Linked DNA regions of Arabidopsis thaliana. The protein of the gene in region 3 interacts with the protein of the main gene of each other region in a pairwise test. Each region holds a gene or a part of one and is shown on either strand. Other genes may lie near its edges.

Region 1 (6,702 bases), on a different chromosome or scaffold from region 3:
TAATTTATAGAGGTTTTACTGTACACAATTAGTTGATATTATTGTTTAGGTGATATTTGAAAACCTGTTTGGTGACCAATTGACCCGCAGTATTAAGAAGTAGGTCATAACCTTAATGATGTGGATTAATTTCGTCTATGATTATATTTTCTTTAAATTGTAATCTAATATAATTTGTTACATTTCTCAATGTTACAATTTATGTTGTACTTCTAAAATAATAGTATAGGTTCAAAACCAAAACGTTATCATTTGCTGTGTGGGGCATACACATCATGCGACATGGTTAGTGTTTCTTAGTTTTGCATGGATGTGAGGAAGAGTTTATTTCATTGTGCTCACGTTACCTGTGCGCGAATTTGTTGATAGGCGTTATGGAATGAATCTCCCTAAAGATGCAGATATAAATGATGGAGTGTTGTCTCATAGTTGCTAGGCATTTGTAATGAGATATGCATTGTCGTTTGTTAAACAATTTGGCATACCAAGAGAGGGGGAGATGTATTTTAACTTCAATTTAGAAATGTCATGATATCCCGAGAAAAAAAAAAGGTACTCCATAGATTAAATCTTTTTATATATATAATATAACAAGCATTTTTCTAAACTATGTCTAATAATGTGGTGTTTGACATTCTATTTTAATAACACATGTACTTTTCATTAGTTGTAGTTTGACTAAAATTAGTCATTAGATATATCATGTATTTTATAAGAATTTTTTCCAACTTTAGTTTTTTGTACCATAATTGTTGCTTCTTTAATTAATTATATTAATTTATTTAAATGTACCGTCCACAATTTCTCTTCCTGAAAATAACTATTTTCCTATCCTATTTCACTATATCTCAAAATCAAAATTTTAATTTGTTTTGTGTTAATTCAAGGTAAAATTTTAACATAATAATATTTTAAAACTATATTGTAACATTTAACTATACAAACAAAAATAATTCTCTAATTTAATAAGAATTTAACTACATCAATGATGATCATTTAGTAAGATGGCTTGCTTGTTGTATAAGCACCACTACAAAAGTCTCGTAATGACTTAGAGGTCTAGCAATACGGCACGATAAAGCTAATTTGCCATATGATATGTCATAAACTGTAGTCTCAAAAGGTTGAAGAGCGGTGAGATCCATGGTGTCCAAAGTAATGTGGTAAGAGGAAGCAGCAGAATGCGTGGACTGGTTGTATATACTTATACTACTGAGCTCTATGTTTTTCTCCTAATATTAATCAAGAAAGAATTGTATGACAAAATACATGCATAGACAAAGAAACAAGAAGATCATGTACATATAGAGCGAGTTTAATCAAAGCTGGATCGGAGCAAATTGTAACGATGAAGCCGAGCCTAGCATAAAGGATAATTAAGGCAGGACAAGGAGAAGACTCATCAAAGAGCTTTATAACCAAAATTGCCGATTTCTCTATTAGATAGAAATTGATGAAAGGACATTTTGTTCTTGGTCTGCCGTTTACAAGTAAACTCTCCACAAAAGGGTACATGTGGCGTTACGAGTTACGACCAGAATCACAGGTTCACGTATCAACAAAAACAACGTATAAATCAAGATATTTGAAAAGCCAAAATAATAAACGAAGCTATTAAATTATTCTCATCACTCATGCATGCTGTACTGGAAAGTATAAATTCGTTTTCAAGTCATGTCATATTGTTGACAGGTGAAAACCCCGTGATTAAGATTAAATCTAACCACAGATCCAAATCATCTAATGTAAATGTATCCATAAACCATAAAGAAAAACAAAACGCAGTGTCGTGCTGACCATGGTAACATTGCATCTAGACGTGTCATAAAATTCCCGTGTACGTTCTTGCATAAATTACGAAATCACAACATTAGAAGAACCAGATCATGGAGATTAATTATTTGAAAAAGAGTTTATTATCAAAAGAAACCAAAGATAATTGTCTTAACTACAATGAAAACATAAAATTTACTTAAACGGACAGTCACATAAAATTAGACATGCCGTGATTTTATTTTTCGGTTGCGCGGTTACAAAAAAAAGTGATCCATCTAAGAGAAGAACTTGTAGGTCTTGGCGTTGATAATGATGGTTCTGAGTCCTCCAATTGGGGCAAGGATCGTCAAAAGAACTCCTACTATGATGCAGAACTGTATTTTTTCATAATCCACAACACCAACAAACCAAAACACAAAAATTGTTACTTTACAAGAAAACAAGAGCTATAGATTATGTACCATTGATTACTAAAGAACATACCCAGTTAGCTGTCCAAGATAGACCAAACCTCTTTGGTTTCTTGAGAACGAGCCACATAATGCATGGAAGCTGCAGTTACAAATTAATATGTGTATATAAATTCACAACTTTAATCTATGGATAAACCAATAAAGAAATGAAGGGATTATTTGTACTATACGTAGTAAGTTGTTGGGGCAAAGGCGAATCCTCCAAAGAAGCCGAGTAGTCCACCGAAAAACGGGACGCATATCGCAACAATCATCGTGAAAGCTGCACGGTCCAATGTACATTGATGAAAATGAGATTAATTAATGAATGGAGTAGGAGGATGACGTTACATATGTATAAATGAGGAGTGGGTTCTTACCGACGTAAAGACTACGAGTAATGAAGCGGAGCTTGAAAGAAGGATTGAAATTCATCTTTTTGACCAAAACGGTTTCGAGCATGTCAAAAACTGGCATTGCAAATATCTGAATCCACACAAAGGTGTCAATATTCATGAAATAATTCTTACTTCAATCAAAAATATAGAAGTACTAGAATGTGGAAGAATACCTGATAGCTTCCAATGACATGGATAACCACGAACATGTTAGCCATAGCAATAAGCCAGATAGGCTTCTCCAAAGTGATGAGGATGTTGTCATCAACGCTGTTTCCAAAGATATAATAGCCGAGGAATGCTACAGGGAAGTAACAGATGGCGACTACAATGTAGGCTACAATAACTCCTCTCCACATTGGGACCTTGGATGGCATCTCCGGAGTCGAAGGGATTGTGGCCTGAATCTCCAACACAACGTTGTGACCTGCATAAGCAAAAGCCACATCTCCCAACGCATTCAAGAAGTTGAATACTTTTCCAACATCGGTTGATGCTCTAGGAGAGTAGTCCACATCTGGATGTACCCCTTTGTGCACGGATGCAGCCCAAGCAATAGTTGAGTAACTGTACAGATCATAAAAATCATCAGGCAATAAAACCTAGTTTTCTACATATTTTGGGATTATGCTAAGTTTTTCTTCTAATAACCGGAAAATATACAACAATTTTGATCCCTAGCCTTGAACCACAAGGCATGCTCTAGGTTAATTATTCTAACTTTCTGTTCAAGTTATAAAGTAAAACCAATATATGTGTGTTGAAGAGATTTACGTTAAGGACATAACAGCCGCGGCAAGTGAGATGATGGAGATAGAGTTGAAATTGGGAAGGTGAGAGATAACAAAGTGGACGGAAGCAAAGATCATGATCCAAAACGTAGTTCTGATCTCTTTGCAATCGGGACAGACTAGTTGATGGACTTTCTTGAGGGATGCTCCTCCTGTGACCATATAAACGATGTCAACACCGACCTCCACGATAAGCTGCTGCGGCACGACGATCCATAGGCCAAGCTTTTCACCAAAAGCGTGTTGACCTAGCTCGTGATACCTATCAAGCCTCTTCCCTGGAACAATCTCATGCATCTCCACCATTTGCCACAGTGTGTACAACGTTATGATCCATGACATCACCATAATCGTCACTCCAGGTCCCCTGTAATACATCAAAAACTCAGATCAGATCATGGATTAAAACATAAAGGAGATTAAGATTATCAGATTCAACAAATTAGTATACCATCCGAGATTGGACATAGCGTAGGGCAAGCTAAGAACACCAGCACCAACCATGGCGGTGACATTGTGAAAAGCAGAGTACCACCACTTAGCGTTTCTGGAAGATGTGATCGGTAACCAATCGTCGACGTTCTTCTGCTTGGCCGCCGCAACCTCACTCGCTGACATTTCACTGTTCCCCATATCTCCTTGTGATATAATCGAGAGATAGTGTTTGGTTTTTGAGAAAGAGATTAGATACAATTAAGAAGATTTTAGGAGGATAAAGATAAGAGTGATATTTAAGAGGAGGATAGATATTCTCTGACGGTTTAGGATTTTACCTGCTTAATTATTCTATTCAACGATTTGTTAGCGTTTATGAGAGTGTAATAAATAGGTGATGAGATTCTGACTTTTCCGAATTTGAAGGGAATGTTTGTTAGTTTGTTTGGTAGTTTTGTTTAGTGTGTTTGGTCTTTTTTTTTGCCCGAGGCATAAGGCACCATCGGCTGGAAGCTGTTTCATGCTTAGACCAATTTAAATACTAATTTACCCCCAATCGTTCTTCTTGATTCAATGATTCTCTTTACATTGACATGGCTTTTTTTTGTAATTTCGTACTTTTTTCTCCCTGTATTTGCATGATTTATTTTCTTTTTTGGATAGAGCTGAATTTTTCTTTTCATGGTCACCTGATCTAACGAGTGTTTCGCTTTTAAAAAATAAAATAATATTTATTCGATAGATAAATATATCTTTCTCATTTAATGATTATTTTGAGTTGACCGACAAAAAATTAGCTGTTTTTTTGTTTTTCTTTTAGTAGAATTTATTTATATCTTGATATATATATATATATATATATATATATATATATATATATATATATATATCTAAGAGAAAATATGTTAAAAATCTATATATTTAAGCAATAACTATATTATTAAATTACTAATAGTGGCATAAAAATGCTAACATATTATTAGTTAGACAAAACGCTCTTAGATATATAAGGTGATGAGTTGTATATATTATTATTTTTTGTTAATTTTGCATATTTGTAATGTCGATGATGAGAAATTGAGAATGATCAGAGTATAAATACTCCAACTAAATCTTGGTCGTAGTGACGTTTCGCTAGCGTAATCTCTCTTTTTGACACTGTAAATCAAAATCACGAAACGTCATGACATCAAAAGGAAGATAAATATCTATATATTTTCTTTTTTCATCTTCTATTACAAAGTCAATGAAACAGACGAACTATTTATGCTTAGCGTCACTTGCATCCCGTGATATTTATGAAGGAAAACTAAAATTGTTGAAGCATAAATGCATGGTTATTTGTCACAGTATTCCCAATTGATTAGAGGGTCGCTCGAACGAATCAAGGGACCGCTCCGATTAATGATATGGTTGACTATAAAAAACAATTATTGTTGGTAGTACAATGTCACAAAACGAAACAAGCGTAATAATATAATTTCAAAGCGTGACAAAAAAAATTGTATGTCGTTTTTTATCAACAGTAATTAATCTACTCAACTATCCTTTGAAAATGTTGAATAAAATGTAAAAGAGAAATTAGGTTGAACCGTTGAAGCGTATAGTTTTTGATTACTCAAAAAAATTCAAGTGTTTCAGGTAAGGGGTTCTTTTCTTGTTGAAGGGTTTTCACAGTCAAAGGTGAAAGATGTTGATTCTTTGTCCAACCAAAGGGCAAAGAGGCACAACTAAAAACAGATAAACCCCAAAAATAAGCAACCAAGAAACTTATAGACATTGTGTCAAACCAATACTGTCTATAATAAGTAAAACAAAATCTTTCTTTCACCCTCATATTTGTTTCTAAACCTTCTCATTCCACAAAATCTTAAAGAGAGACGAAGAAGATGGATTCTGGACTATCATGGGCTGATCAATGGGATTACAACTCTGATCCTCCTCCAAATTCAAGTAACGAAGACGATAAGAAGAAGAAGAAGAAGAAGAAGAAGGAAGATGGAAGCAAAAGCGGTATCGGGAAGGCCATACTTGGATTCAAATGGATGAAACTTGGCAAGAAATCTGATAAGTAATCAATAGGTTATTTGTTTAGTTACAAAAGGGTTATTGATTCATCTGTTCCTTGTGATTAATCCATTAAGTTCTGCTTCTCTCTTTTAACCATTCTTCTGATTGTAATTGTTAAATCTTTAACATTTAGAAAGTTCGTTGGTTGCGGTTGATTGTGTATTTATATTTTTGTTGGTGAGAATTTAATAGCGACCAGGAATTGTGTTTTTGTTTTATTAAAGGTGTATTATAAAATCATTAATCCTATTAGATGAGTACATGTAAAAAAAATCATCCTTTTGAGTTTGTAATACCTAAAATGACAAAGAAAACTTAATGGATCGCTAAACACTCGTAAAAGACGTCTAGGCAATAAACAACGATTCAAAATATCACTATCCTAGTTTACTAAAATCAGCAACATGCAGGATGTACCGACAAGTAACCTCTCACAAAATTCATAAACCATGCCATATAGGCATAGTTTAATCTAATGCCGCGTCACCATCTGGATGCAAACAACAAGCAAAGTGAGATGTTCAAAAGAAAATATCTTTAAAATTGTAATACTCTTTAGCTTTTTGTAAACTACTTTTAACGTAAACGTGAAGAAAAAGTTTGACATTTATTCATACAAAAAAAAAAATATATACAAAAGGTTTGACATTTACATTATTATTTTTTTAATTTAATGTTAAATTAGATTTAAAAGAAAATAGCGTTTTTACAACTAGTGCAACGATAGATTAAAAAACATTGTGTTGAATAACGATTAACAGAAAAAAAAAAGATGTTTGA
Region 2 (6,856 bases), on a different chromosome or scaffold from region 3:
AAACATAACACGACTTATTCTTAATCACCCCTTAATACAATAATAATGCAAAAACACACAGTTTCTTTAGTTAATCACATGACAACTCTTCCTGATCTCACCATTAAAACCAGTAAGAGGCTGAATGTTTCCCATGTTAACCATCGACTTTGCGAATTGTTGGAAGAAAAGTCTCTCGTCTTCGGCATAAGCTTTCACTAATGCACCAGTCTTGCCTACATTGCCAGTGAGAAGCACTTCATCTGATGTCAATAAGCCTTTGCCCCATAGAAGGAGCTTGAAGTATGTGTTGTCGAATCTTGCAGGAGAGGCTAAGTCTAGAGGTGAAATATTGTTGTCACCGCCTGTTGGTGGACAAATTGACCTGAGACCATAGTAGTAAGACCTCTCTAGCGTCTCGTCTGGTTGGTTATTACCGTTTTGATTGTATAGTCTTTGTTTAAACGTTGTGCACCTCGCTACTCCAATCGTATGTCCTCCTGCAACATTTTGGTTTGGTTAAAAACGTTGTTATCATTCGGTTTTAAGAAACCGGTCTCGGTTTGGTTTCCTTGCCAACTCCTTAAACAAAAGATAAATACATGTTAATCTCACCTGATAGGGAAACAAGGTCTTCTTCGTTCAAACCTTTACGTTGGAACATGGTTAAGAGATTTTGAATAGTTGAGTTAGGTGCAGGAATGTTCGTGTTTGCGCCATTAAGGCTAGCGGTCCTCGAGTCTCTCCTCCCTAGTGGAAGCTCCCATGATGGTCCACCACTCTGCATTGAACCACAAATTCGATAAATATAAGCTATATAACTTGTAACTGAGCCAATAGTTTCTCTTGAAGGTCTCTTAATTTTACCAGTATAGTTGAGCCACGAGCAGCTAGAGCTAGAATGTCGGCGCAGGAGACAGTTTGAGGACAAGCTTGCTCAAGTTTGGCTTTGATCTCGTCGATTACTTGAAACCCTCTAACGGAGTTCTTGTTTGGTCCAGCATTCTTTTCACTTCTTATGGTTGCACTATCATCCAACAAGATTGATGCATCACAGCCCTGTTTACACACAGAGTGTAGTGTATAAGTGTTAAGCTTAAGAGACACATAAAGGGAAAACAAAAATAGGTAAAGATACTTTTACCTGAACGAAGCAGTCGTGGAAGTGAAGTCTGAGTAAAGATGCTGCCATTCTTGGTTCTTTAGCTATGGCTTTTTCGAGCACCGTCATAACAATCTCATCAGCTTGTGGACAAGAGAACTGGTAAAATTGTGGGTAAAGATTTGAGTAAAAAGATCCTCCAATGGGACTATTACTTCCCCATCCAAATCCTAGACCTGGATGAGCAACACTAACATCAAAAGAGAACAAAACAAAGAGCACAAGAGTAGGAATAAGCTTTGAGATAGCCATTTTTGTTACTTGGGAGTTTTAAGATGAGATAGTAGTAAAACGGTGAGGGTTTTTATACTTTAGAGATTCAAGAAGCTAACTGCTCTCAGTTTACCAAATCCTAATTTAGAATGTTAAGATAAAAGAGAGAGACATAGTCAACTTGTCCTTATTATACCTCATTGTTGTCTTTTAGAAGTCCTTGTACCAACTCCAAGAACGAATCCATGTGCCTAACTTCACATGTGATCCCAACAAAACCGCCTTGTACCATTGTTAGGTAAAGCTTCTCAACCATAAGCATCTGCACTGTCTAACCTCTTTGTGTTCTCTGAGAGTTGAAGTTTGAAAATGATGAGTGAACTGCTACATTGAGAAAACAACTCTTACCGAATAAAGATTTTCTCTTCATAAGTTATTTACAAAATCAGACATTTAACTTATATCCATTCTGCATCCAAGTCTTTTAGTCACAAAACAAGACCATAGCAATGCAAATATAGCTTGTTTCAATGCTACAAAAATTTTAGTCACATTGCTTCAACCATATAAACGGCTTTAAACATACACTGAAAGAAAATGTTATGGTAAGTGTTATTACAACGACACAGTTTTTGTGTCTGGTATAGAAAATAACACTGTTGTTTTGTTCTAAGCTTTTAACTTAAGAAGTACAAAAACTAATGCTTTGTTACTATTAAGATACTGCCTAACTCGTCCAAAATAAGCCATGATGTTGAGAATCTGATAGCTGCAAACCAAACAAAGTGTAATACCGGCGATCAAAAACCACCATCATGGTTTGTATAATCACTCACTTTTCTTGGATCCATCGGTTCCATAAGCGGGATTCGCAGTTTCAGATGAAGCTAAACTAGAGTTGTTAGCAGAGGTATCTGATGATGCCTCTGTAATTCCAGCTGAGTACTTTTTGATCCTCAATGAAATCAGAACACTTGACAGTATCCCAAGTACTGGGAAAACATAACCCCAGACCTGACTTTTCTGTTTTCCAGCTACTGAAGCCACAGCCATACCAGCGAGGCTACCGACTGATGCGTTCTGCAGGATCATCGGGAGGCAGCCAATAACCGTGGGGAACAGAAAATCAGCTACAAACCGGACTTCAGTAGCTGCCAAAGCGTAGTTTATGACATAGGAAGGAATGGGCGAGAACCTTGCAAGAAGAACAAACTTCCAACCATCGCGCTCAACTCCTCTTGAGAGAATATTGAAGTACTTGTTGCTATGCGCCCACCCTGTAGCTCTGGTGGAACTCTTAAAAACAAACCTGAAAATTCAAAAAAGTATGAGAGAATGCAAGTGCTCCCAATAGATAGATAAATAAATAAAACTGCATATCACATTGCTAAGGTTAATCAACATCCTAGTTGCATTCTCCTACATATATTAATTGGCAATTAGAATCACAGCATGCATTTAACAATTAGTCCATACATATCCATCACATACACAAGAAAACAACCAATCTCATCCACACACCATTATAGAATAGGAAGACATGCATCTTCTCCGCCTTTTTGGCGAATAACGGTGTTAGTTTTCCTCTGAACAGCCAAAATGACATCATTTCTTTACACAAAGATCCACTTCCTATAATGCTTAGAGTAGAATGGATTTTCGTGAAAACTTCTGTATACGGAGGTTTCAGCGATAGCAGGACAATCAAAACCAACAAAAGAGTTTATTCTACATCTCCAAGTAAAATCTCAGAAATCGATAACTTAAACTAAATCAGAGTGTTACTAATGAAGCATATAGTTTCTATGAAGCCATGTAAAAATCCAGCATAAATGTGAATATTGCAAATCATTCCCTAGCATATATTAACAAGCAAATGACAAGCATCTAACGGTTCTTTACATCTCCGTCACATACACAAGACAACAACCACTCTTATCCAAACACCATTATAGAATCTGAAGACATCCATCTAAATCTCGCAAGAAAATATCATGCATCTTCTCCGCCTTTTTGGTGAACAACGGTGTTATCTTACCGCTGAATAACCAACAATGACACCATTTCTTCACACAAACATTCCCTTCCTATCATTCATGCTTACAATTTAATGGATTTCAATAAACGTTCTGCAAAAGGTTTCAACAATGGTGCACTAAAGAAAAATCTAAACCATCTCCAAGTAAAACCTTAAGCATTCACAAAACACGATAACATAAACTAAACCAGAGTGTATTACTAATGAATCATATACTTTCTACGAAGCCAAGATAAGCCATGTGAGAATCATTGTTCTAAATCCAAATCATTTCGATCAAATTCGTACATTAGCGACACAAACTAACGATCCAACAGATCAATTTGAATCACATAACAGTGCAATTGAGAAGCAGACCTGCCGATCCAGAAGGAGAAAGAAGCGGCGAGAACTTTAGCAGAGAAAACACAGAGAAGAGCAGGAAGGAAACCAAAGAGCATAGAAGCACCAGCTTCAAAGAAGACGGCGTGAGGGAGACAAAGAGCTAAGGTTATTGTGTGAACCGCTACATACGTTGGAATCGCCCAAATCCCCAGCCGATCTGACCATTCCTTTAGCTTTTCCAACGCCGCCTCTTTGTTCCATCCGTATTGTGTCGTGCCTTGTCTAACGATTATTGCAATTATCGCCACCGTCGCTGCGATTGCTAACCATTTCTTCATCACGGAGCTCTGAGATGAGAAGAGAAGAAAGCGTGAAATGAAATGGGGGAACTGGTTTTTGGTAATTGTCGAAAGTGATTTTTGAAAAGGGTAAATTGCAAGTTGAATCCTCAAAACTGCAATGTTTTGGAAATATACCCTTGATCTTCTAAAATTGCAAAATGAGACTATTCAACTCTCCACAATATAACACTAATTGACTAATTACAAGAAAAAATTATCAAAAGTGAAAACTTGACAATCACGATTTATTTTCTATAATTTTTCATTTAAATTATTATTAATATTATGATTGATGTATTTAAAATCAATAAAAGTTTATAATATTAGGAAAATTAAAATAATATGCGATGAGTTATATTCCGAGACGGAGTTATATGGCGGAACGGATTTGAAACAATATTAATAAGTAAATAAAACATCATTAACCTACTACTTTAATACAGATGAAATTCTTATTTTATTATTTATTAATATCACTAGTGTTAGACATATAACATCTGTCTAATTAATATAAGATTGTACAAAACAAACTTCTTATGTGGTATATCGTTACTTAATGACAATTATAAAATATAAATATAAATATAAATATCATATAAATGATACAAATTACAAGTATCCTACTATATTATTTGGGAAGTACATTTTAAATTTAACCTTAATTTTTGTAGTTAATTACATGACAATGCCATTAGAAAAATTTAATCAAAAACAAAATCCTTTAATGACGTCATTAATTACCAAAATCTTTTAACGACAATATCCTCTTATTATTAAAAGGGAAGTACAAATTGAAATTTTGTCTAATTTGGCCTCAATTTTGATTTCAATTTTGGATTTTGTTCTTTGCTATTCAAAATCATTAAGGGTAATTTGGTCTTAACAATCTCCTAAACTTGATATGATCCGATTCAATCTAAACCGTTCAATAATTTTAATTCACTTCAATCTAATCCGTTCAACAAAAATAAGTAAATAACAAAAGAAAAATTAAACACATTTTAACACATTCTTCTTATCACTAAATAACAACCAAAAAAAAATCTCAATTATTATTTAGTTATGTCTGATTAAAAAATTTATATTTATAAGTTTAGGATATCAAATTTATTCAAATATTTAGTATAAGAACCAAATAAACCGATTGCCCGCGGTAAACCGCGGGTTAAATCCTAGTTCATCTCTTAATTATAGGGCTTATTTGATTTAAAGACGGGTCATCAAAGATTTCCTAAACTTAAGCAAAATATACTGAATATTCAAATATCTATCTGTTACCAAATTATAAACAAATAAGTTCGTAAAACAATTTAATATTTTATATACGAAATCAACTAAATCTTAATCACATAAAAATTAGCACAAAAAAGTATTCAACAATTAAAAAATTATCAAATCTCTGTGTTATATAAGTTTTTATACTATATTCGAATAAAGTGTAATATATCTTTTTAATTTGTATTCTTTAACTAATTTAAGCTAACTAATATATTTGCTAATCTTATACCTATCAAAACCGACTATCGTTTCTTATCTCTATAGTATTTTTGCAAGACTTTTTTGGTGGATTTGGGTAAAAGTGCATTCGGGTCATATGGTACATTCCCCTATTAAATAAATATGGTGCACTTCTATGTTATTAGCTAAAATGTTTAGATTATAATTTAGAGTCATATCATAAATAAAATTAATATTAATAAAATAAATGGCTTTTTGGCAAGATGGATTTGGAGGGACGGGTTTTTGAATCAACATTAATAAAAAAAGTAAAATATAATTAAATCACCGTTTCAATACGGGTTAAATCTTTAATTTATTATTTTTTAAGACCATTAATATTAAACATATCAAATCATCCTAATTTAGAAAAGATTATATAAAACCAAAAATGTTATGTGGTATGTATAATGTTAGTATATATAAAATTAAACTATAAAATATAAAACTTTAAGCTAAAAATTGTGGTAACAATTATAAACTGTAAAATATAAATATTTTATAAGAATAAAATTTGCAAGTTTCAATATATCTTACTTTTAAAAAATAAATCGTCCCGCGATATACCGCGGATTAAAATCTAGTTTAAATATGATACACAATCATAAAATTTTAAAATTTAATATTTCTGATAAAATTAAACGGATTACAAAAATACATTTTGGATGCTTGTTAAGTTAAGCTTCTTATTTATTCAAGGTCAAAAAGATTTACGTCTTTCTATTCATATTTTTTTTTATAGTTTACTAGGGGGTATTCCACGCATTGTGTGGAGTCAAAATTAATATAGTAAAATAAACTATAATTCTAGCTTATCATATATTGCTTAACTACGCGTATTAAAAATACACGAATATGAGGCACATGAAGATGAACATGAGTATCTGGTTAATTTGCTAGATGCATGGACAAATGTCTCCATTCTCCTGGTTCCTCTTATGATAGTATGGTTTACCAGATTTTTTGTGGTACACTAAGTAGTGTGATGACATGTGAGAACTGTGGAGACATGTGATGACAAGTCAAGAAATTGCAAAACAAATCGAGCAATTTCTTGACTTGTTGTTAAAAGTAATGAGGAGATTAACAAAAAAAGTTGAAGAATCATTTGATCGTATTAATATTTATATTTGCAATAATCTAAGCGTCAAAATATTTAGATTTTCAGATACTTAAAATAATTTTAGGTATTTAATCTACTTTTGAGTAAATTTGAATACAAAAGTGTTCAAGGTTTTTAGTTATTTTCTGTATTTTCGAGTAGTTTGGATATATTTGGTTTTAAAATTTTGATTTTTGAGA
Region 3 (6,786 bases):
AGGGATATTTTACTTTTGTTTCCATTTATATGTTAATTAGATTTTCTATTTTGCCTTTTCATGTGGGGTTTGGTTGTTTAGGACATGGTGGATTCTGGGACTACATTGTACCTTCTGCTCTTCTCTTAAACAACCAGTATCTTTAAATTATTTATTTATCTCTTTTATTATTGGGTTCTACATTTTCCTTTATCTTTTATAAATTTCATGGTCTTGAAATAACAAATTGTGAACAATAAGATTGGAAAATGTGACTTTTATTATTCAGTTATGTTAGTTAAGAGTTTTCTAATCTCGACCAGATTTATTTTCAAGGTACCATGTAATTGATATTAACAAATTTGTAAAGTGGTTGTTTTCTTTTAATTATTGAAATTTATATATGGATAAAGTAGTGATAAGGTCCATAAGGATATCAGAAGATACGAAAAAGTGTTTAGGAGAACATAGGTTTACCACCAATTTTAAATCACGTGATCAAAGTTGTATCCTATTGACTGTATCATATTAAAACGTCATTTATTACCTCCTTTACAAAAAAACAAATATTTCTTAATGAAATTTTGTGGTGTATTTTGCGATGATAAATTTAAAATGTAAGGTAAATAAATATTTTGAATTTTACTCACTTATTTATAATATAAATAAATAAACGTAAATTAACATAATTTTGCAAATTTTTAGTATTAGTGAAAATTTAGTTGATTTTTCTTTTTGTATTAGTTCCCTTTTTTTAACGGTTTGTATTAGTTCAAATACCAGCAATATTTATGCTCTCTATTATAAAAGCTCAACTTACAACTATAAAATAAGAATAGGATTTATGAATAGATCATAATAGTATTGGTCTTCATCTTTTTAAAACTATCCACATAAACAATAGTAATGAATCTCACTAGATAGTAGTAGTGTATAGTTTGGGTAAAATACATTTTAGAGTAGATTACTGCATATTGGTTTTGTCGAGGATGATTTTCCGGTTCAACAAATTCTGTTATATGCAAGCATAATCAACCACATCTTCTTTATGAAGAGATCCTCTCCCGTTAAATCACCGTTTACTTCACACAAACACAATATATGTGTAGTGTACAGATAATTTATTGACCATAAATTCAACTATCCAAGCTTCAAATTTCGTAGGAATATGACATAGTAATCAAGTGGTGGTGAGAAAATTACTGAGAGACCTACGAATCCTAGAAACATAATTTTCGTAACTCCTAAGTGAAAATCATCATCATAAACTCAGACTTTGAAAGTCAACTTTGAAATATAATTTTCAGAAAATTATATCCGTTTGATGATTACCCCCAAAATCTCTTTGGATGATCATCAAGCAAGACATCATCTTCTGAATCTCTGATGTAAGATTATGGACCTATGTTCAATTTCTAATCATTGTTTCTCTATTTTTATATATAAATCAAATGAATTTTGGCGTGTTGACATTGGACAATATAGTTTAGGTTAGACTTGGGGATGTAGATCATCCTTCTTCCTGTCCCTCCTAGGATAGCAAGAGAATCATTAGGGATAATACCGGAAAAAAATGGACAATTAGCCAACACTAATTTTGGAGACTTGAACCAATTATTATTATTATTATATATTTACAAGGAAAAAACTACATAAACTATCAAGAAACATTAGCTTGCAGTAAAAGACCATAATTCCAATATTGTGTCAAAAAATAGATTCTAAGACATGATGATATATAAAAAAAAACTTGGAGAAGTGTCAATTCCACAAACAATAGCCAAGCCAACACGGACAATCGTTGGTACTATCGTTGTACATGAGAGGCTTTGTTAAAGGAAAGAGAAGTAAGACGAACCCAACCACACCGCCTAAGAACGCTGCACTCACCAAACCTGAGAGAAGAACCATAACCATGTTTAGCTTATTCTTTTGCATTTGCATTTGTTAACAACCTTGAACTTTATGTCTTACCTTTTCCATTTGCGTATAGCACAGGCAATCCCATGTAGTTGCAAAATATATGAGCAAACAAAGGAGCAGCAAGATGTCCTGTAAAATTTACACAATGCAGGAGACAATCATCCATTAGAAAGGCTTTTACATGTATAAGATATATAAATGCCTGGAATGTTACCGGTTCTGATGAAGAGAAACGATGCATATGCACCAAAAATGACTGTGTAGCCAAGCTGAAGACCTGATCAACGGACAAGTGAAGCTCAGGACTGATCAACAAACAATATTATTATGATTATGGATGGCAAAGACATACCAACAATAAGTGAAGCCCGGAGATAGCTGCGGTTATGCCTGATGTACATCTCTCTAAAATGGTTTAAGTGAGCTACACAAAACATATAAAAGTCAGACAAATCCAGTAATTTTCTTTTCACTCGAGTTGTAAACTGTTATTCACAGAGAGAGAGAGAGAGAGAAAGAAACAAACCCAAGCTAAAGAGAACTGGGCACAGAAAGATGGCAGTGTTAATCCTAAACCCAGCACACAGAAGCAAAGGTATCATACATGATCGGAAAACCAGCTCCTCAGTTACTGGTGCCTGCAAATCATAAGAAACGCCAGCTCTAACAGATTATAACTTGTTCGATTTAGAACTTACTTATACACCAAACTGATGCATATAGTCCTCAGACAATTAGCAAGCAATGCCTTATGCAATTTCAATAAAGAATTGACAAGATAAGCACACAGAGATGGCAAACATATGATTACCACGATAAAATTGCGCCAAACGGAAACATTAGAAGCACTTGTCAATACCGAAGCAGGGATTGTTTGGAAAAAGCTTCTGATGTAATTAAAGGAACTACATCCTCCGCCATTTTCCTTCCATGATTCCAGGAGAGTAAACAACTTCAACACCAAAGACCCAGCATAAACGAGCGAGGTCAATAGAAGAGGATACACCACTCCTTGCCACTGTTCCATATCACAAAACATAACCATTTTAATATGAATAGTGTACAATAAGCTACGAGTAAACAAATTGAGACAAAGAACTTACCAGATGATCTTTCCTTATGCCATAAACTCCAAGTATATAAGAGGCCTCCCAGCTTTTTATCTAACATTACTCAAGCAAAAAAGGAAGACAAGTTTCAGAGATTCCTGTAACTAGCGTTGAATTGTACCAAACACAACATAGTCACCAATATTTGAGTGTTACATTCTTAGAGACAAATTGTGTGAACCTACAACAACTAGTAAAAGCTAATTCAACTCTCAACAAAGTTACAAATACATCAAATTTCTTTACTTTTAGTTTAACTTTCATCAAAACACCAAATGCATCTAGATTTGGACCTAATTTGGTTACAGATCAACGGAGAATGAACTTCAAATCGAGAAATGGCGGTACTCAAAGAAGCTTACCGGAAGTATAAAAGCTGTGAAGACGAGAGATGCTACAGTACAAATGGCCGCGCAGATGAATCGCCGAATCATGAATTCGGTGTAAGAAGAAGCCGACGGGAGACGGAGTATCACGGTGGGAACGTAAAGGATCAAAACGTAGAATAGTGCCATCGCGACGCAGGTAGCCACCGCCAACGACATCGAGATACTCTCGCCATCGGTGGCCATAATCGTTGAGGAAGCTCCGGCGAAGAAATATACCGGCTAATAAGTGTCGAAGTCACCGCTGGTTAAATCTTAGTCCGGCGGTCTTCTAATCTTTAACCAATTACATCGTGCCACGTTATAGACTAAAACGGATGACTACTGGGCCGAACAGACCCATTGGGCCAATTTCGTTTATAAAAGAGGGTATAACGGTAATATCATCAGAAGATATACGTCACCATGCCAGTTTCGAAGAAGCCTATTGGTTATATTTCGTCATTAACTAGACGGAATGACGAAACTACCCTCAGATGCCTTCTTCTAAAGTTGTCTCTTCACTGTCAAGAAGAAGAAGAGAACAAAAAAAAGAAAGGAATTTTCTCTGAAACGTCACGAACGTGTGAATTGGGTTAAAAAATTCATCTCATTGATCCAAACTTGAAACCCTAATTTCGAATCTCTTTGCTGATTTGGTGAGATCTCAATTTCGGAAAGAAGATGACGAAGGATTTCGCAGTTCCACCTGTAGTTTTCCCCTCCGGTGGATCTTCAGGCGGTGCTAATGTCCAGCAACGAAGATTCCCAGCGACACCGTTTCAACCGCCGCGTCCCTCTTCTTCCGCAATCCCTTTCATGTCATTCGACATTGGATCCGCAGCCGCGTCTTCCGCTACACCTGCCGGACCATTCGGCGGGACAATCGCTTCCTCTTCTTCTTTTGGTGGAGGTTCAGCTTCGTTTGAAGATGAGGAGCCATTACTCGACGAGCTCGGTATCCATCCAGATCAAATCTGGAAGAAGACTAGATCGATTCTCAATCCTTTTCGGATTAACCAAGCTGTTCACAAAGATTCAGATCTATCTGGTCCGATCTTTCTGTACCTTGCGCTTTGCTTATTTCAGTTGTTAGCTGGTAAGATCCAGTTCGGTGTCATACTTGGATGGATCGTCGTCTCCTCTATCTTTCTATACGTCGTCTTTAACATGCTTGCTGGTAGAAATGGGAACCTTAATCTCCATACGTGTACGAGCTTGGTCGGATACTGTTTGCTTCCGGTGGTGGTTTTATCGGCGGTGTCATTGTTCGTTCCCCAGGGAGCAGGGCCGGTTCGGTTTGTGCTTGCGGCTTTGTTTGTGTTGTGGTCCACTAGAGCCTGCTCTACATTGGTGGTATCTCTTGCTGATGGTGGAGAAGAGCACCGTGGCTTGATCGCGTACGCTTGTTTCTTGATCTATACTCTCTTCTCTCTTCTTGTTATATTTTGATTCCATATTGATAGATCGTGAATCACTTCCGATGCTGTGTTAGCAAGTAGCAAAAAAAGGCTGCAATATAAGTTCTTTGATGTGAGGTTGAATTGGGTGGGAATAGCACGGTGTGTAAAGGCTTTTTTGGATAAATTTAGAAAGGTGTTTAAGAAATTTGATTCAATGTTTGTATCTGTCACTTGATCTTTAAGGTTCTTACTTAAGAATTATTTATACAATTTGGTCGATATGTCTTTTGACATAGTTTGTTCCTGGACATTAGATTTGTGAGAGTATTGGAATTGATGTTGCGGATGATATGCTTCTGTACTAATGCAGAAGAGGTTTATATGCTTCCTATTTCATGTTTATTTTGCTATTTACTTTCCCGGTGTGAGGCTATGAAGATGTGCTGACTTCTTGCTTGGATTATACTTAAAGGTCCCAAGTTTTAGGAATGATTGGCATTAGATTTGCTTAAAGTATGGCTCCATGTAGGTAGAGTAGAATTTTGAGTTGGTTTTAGAGCTGTTGGAAACTTAGGCATAGTCTAATGAAAGAGTGATTAGTATTTAGTGGTTTGCTCGGTGTTGGTATGTTCCCTGATTAGGTGGCATAGATAAGTAGGGACATGGGATCTTGGCTTCAGGTTCGTCTTCTACTGTCAATCCCAGAACTGCACTTACTTTTCCTGATAGTATTTGCTGTGTCACGGAAATTAGAGAGAGATTTATCCGCAATTCATACTCTCTTAGATGGAATTTGTTTTAATGTGTCGAGAAGAATCAGCTATGTCCAATTGAGTGAGCATAGTATTTGTCAGCTTTACCTTCTCCTAAAACATTCAGTAGAACTGGTGTTAGAAATGATCTCTATATTTTCGTGTTGCAACACTCGTTCCGAGGGAACCATTTTTGTGTTCCACCTTTTCTTTAGAATCCAAATTGACTCAAAGGGGAGTAGGCAATTGTTTTAAACATACAATGTAAAGATGTAAAATTTCTGATATATCTGGTGGATGTACTTAAGACATACCCTACAATTTCGATCCTTGGACTCAATTGAAACCAAACTTTTAGGCGGCTTGGTCTCTCCCTTACCAGGATCTTGTCAAAGGAAACCATATATACTCATACTCACCTAGTTCTTCCATGATATCCAGATAGTGATAAACCATCTGATTAAACACTCGTAACACTTGCATATATTGACAAGATTATCTCTCAAGTGTCTATAAGATACGTATTTGTGTTTCAAGGTAAAATTGTAAGATATACATCTGATTAAGTATTCTTACTCTCAATTCTTTGATTATCAACATAGAGAACCCCTCTAGACCAAACCAAATCACTCCAACCTCTTGATGTTGCCGGTACGGCATTAGAGATTTCGGCAGCTGGTAATAGACAGTTGGCCAGTAAAACGCTACCTGTTCTCGCCGGTAATCTCTGGCAATCATACGGTGGAGATGTGGCCGTATCACTGACGGCCTCCAGGTTTATCTCGAACAGATCATCTTCGCCGTCTTCTTCACTACTTCCCTCGCCATCGTGTTCAGGTTCGTTTGCTTCTTGTTTCTCCTCTTCTTCTGTTCCACGGTTAACCAAACCAACACAACGTGTCATTGTTGATTTTGAAATAATTTCCGGTTTAAGAGTCCTTGTGGTTTTAAACTTGATTATGTGGTTAATACGTATATATAAAGGTGATTAAAGTAGAAGGTGGGTTAGTAGAACGGTCCTCAACGAATATACAACTATCTTTGTTGGGAATTTTTGGGTCTTCCAAAAGATTTTTTTTATACAAAGAAGAAAGTAAATTCCAAAAGAAATTTGTTATAGACTCGTGACTTGAGATCGAGAATAATAATAACTTGAGTACATTAAATGTGTACGGTGCAACAGTCACTGTTTAGATCTAACTATATTAATAGCTACTTCCGAATAATATATGTTTAGGACTTAGGAGCAAATGAT

Evidence for each region.
Region 1: the proteins of FACE2 (region 3) and LHT2 interact in a protein complementation assay, tested with the Arabidopsis thaliana proteins (one large-scale study listed by BioGRID).
Region 2: the proteins of FACE2 (region 3) and AT1G44960 interact in a protein complementation assay, tested with the Arabidopsis thaliana proteins (one large-scale study listed by BioGRID).

What each region holds. Positions count from the first base shown.
Region 1 is NC_003070.9:8,649,512-8,656,213, forward strand, and holds LHT2 (lysine histidine transporter 2), read right to left. Parts: upstream 4,405-6,702; 5' UTR 4,051-4,404; coding exon 3,869-4,050; intron 3,785-3,868; coding exon 3,401-3,784; intron 3,194-3,400; coding exon 2,800-3,193; intron 2,715-2,799; coding exon 2,609-2,714; intron 2,512-2,608; coding exon 2,420-2,511; intron 2,329-2,419; coding exon 2,260-2,328; intron 2,151-2,259; coding exon 2,052-2,150; 3' UTR 1,896-2,051; downstream 1-1,895. Other genes in the region: AT1G24405 (uncharacterized protein), read left to right, coding at 5,742-5,927. UniProt on the Arabidopsis thaliana protein: Amino acid-proton symporter. Transporter with a broad specificity for neutral and acidic amino acids. Basic amino acids are only marginally transported.
Region 2 is NC_003070.9:16,996,774-17,003,629, reverse strand, and holds AT1G44960 (SNARE associated Golgi protein family), read right to left. Parts: upstream 4,185-6,856; 5' UTR 4,055-4,184; coding exon 3,750-4,054; intron 2,664-3,749; coding exon 2,183-2,663; 3' UTR 1,896-2,182; downstream 1-1,895. Other genes in the region: AT1G44970 (Peroxidase superfamily protein), read right to left, coding at 67-479, 595-760, 847-1,038, 1,124-1,393.
Region 3 is NC_003071.7:15,211,404-15,218,189, reverse strand, and holds FACE2 (farnesylated protein-converting enzyme 2), read right to left. Parts: upstream 3,805-6,786; 5' UTR 3,584-3,804; coding exon 3,374-3,583; intron 3,066-3,373; coding exon 3,006-3,065; intron 2,921-3,005; coding exon 2,714-2,920; intron 2,541-2,713; coding exon 2,429-2,540; intron 2,327-2,428; coding exon 2,255-2,326; intron 2,180-2,254; coding exon 2,117-2,179; coding exon of another isoform or gene 2,061-2,116; exon of another isoform or gene 2,032-2,060; coding exon 1,954-2,031; intron 1,875-1,953; coding exon 1,741-1,874; 3' UTR 1,577-1,740; downstream 1-1,576. Other genes in the region: AT2G36300 (Integral membrane Yip1 family protein), read left to right, coding at 4,061-4,828; AT2G36295 (uncharacterized protein), read right to left, coding at 6,094-6,435. UniProt on the Arabidopsis thaliana protein: Protease involved in the processing of a variety of prenylated proteins containing the C-terminal CAAX motif, where C is a cysteine modified with an isoprenoid lipid, A is an aliphatic amino acid and X is any C-terminal amino acid.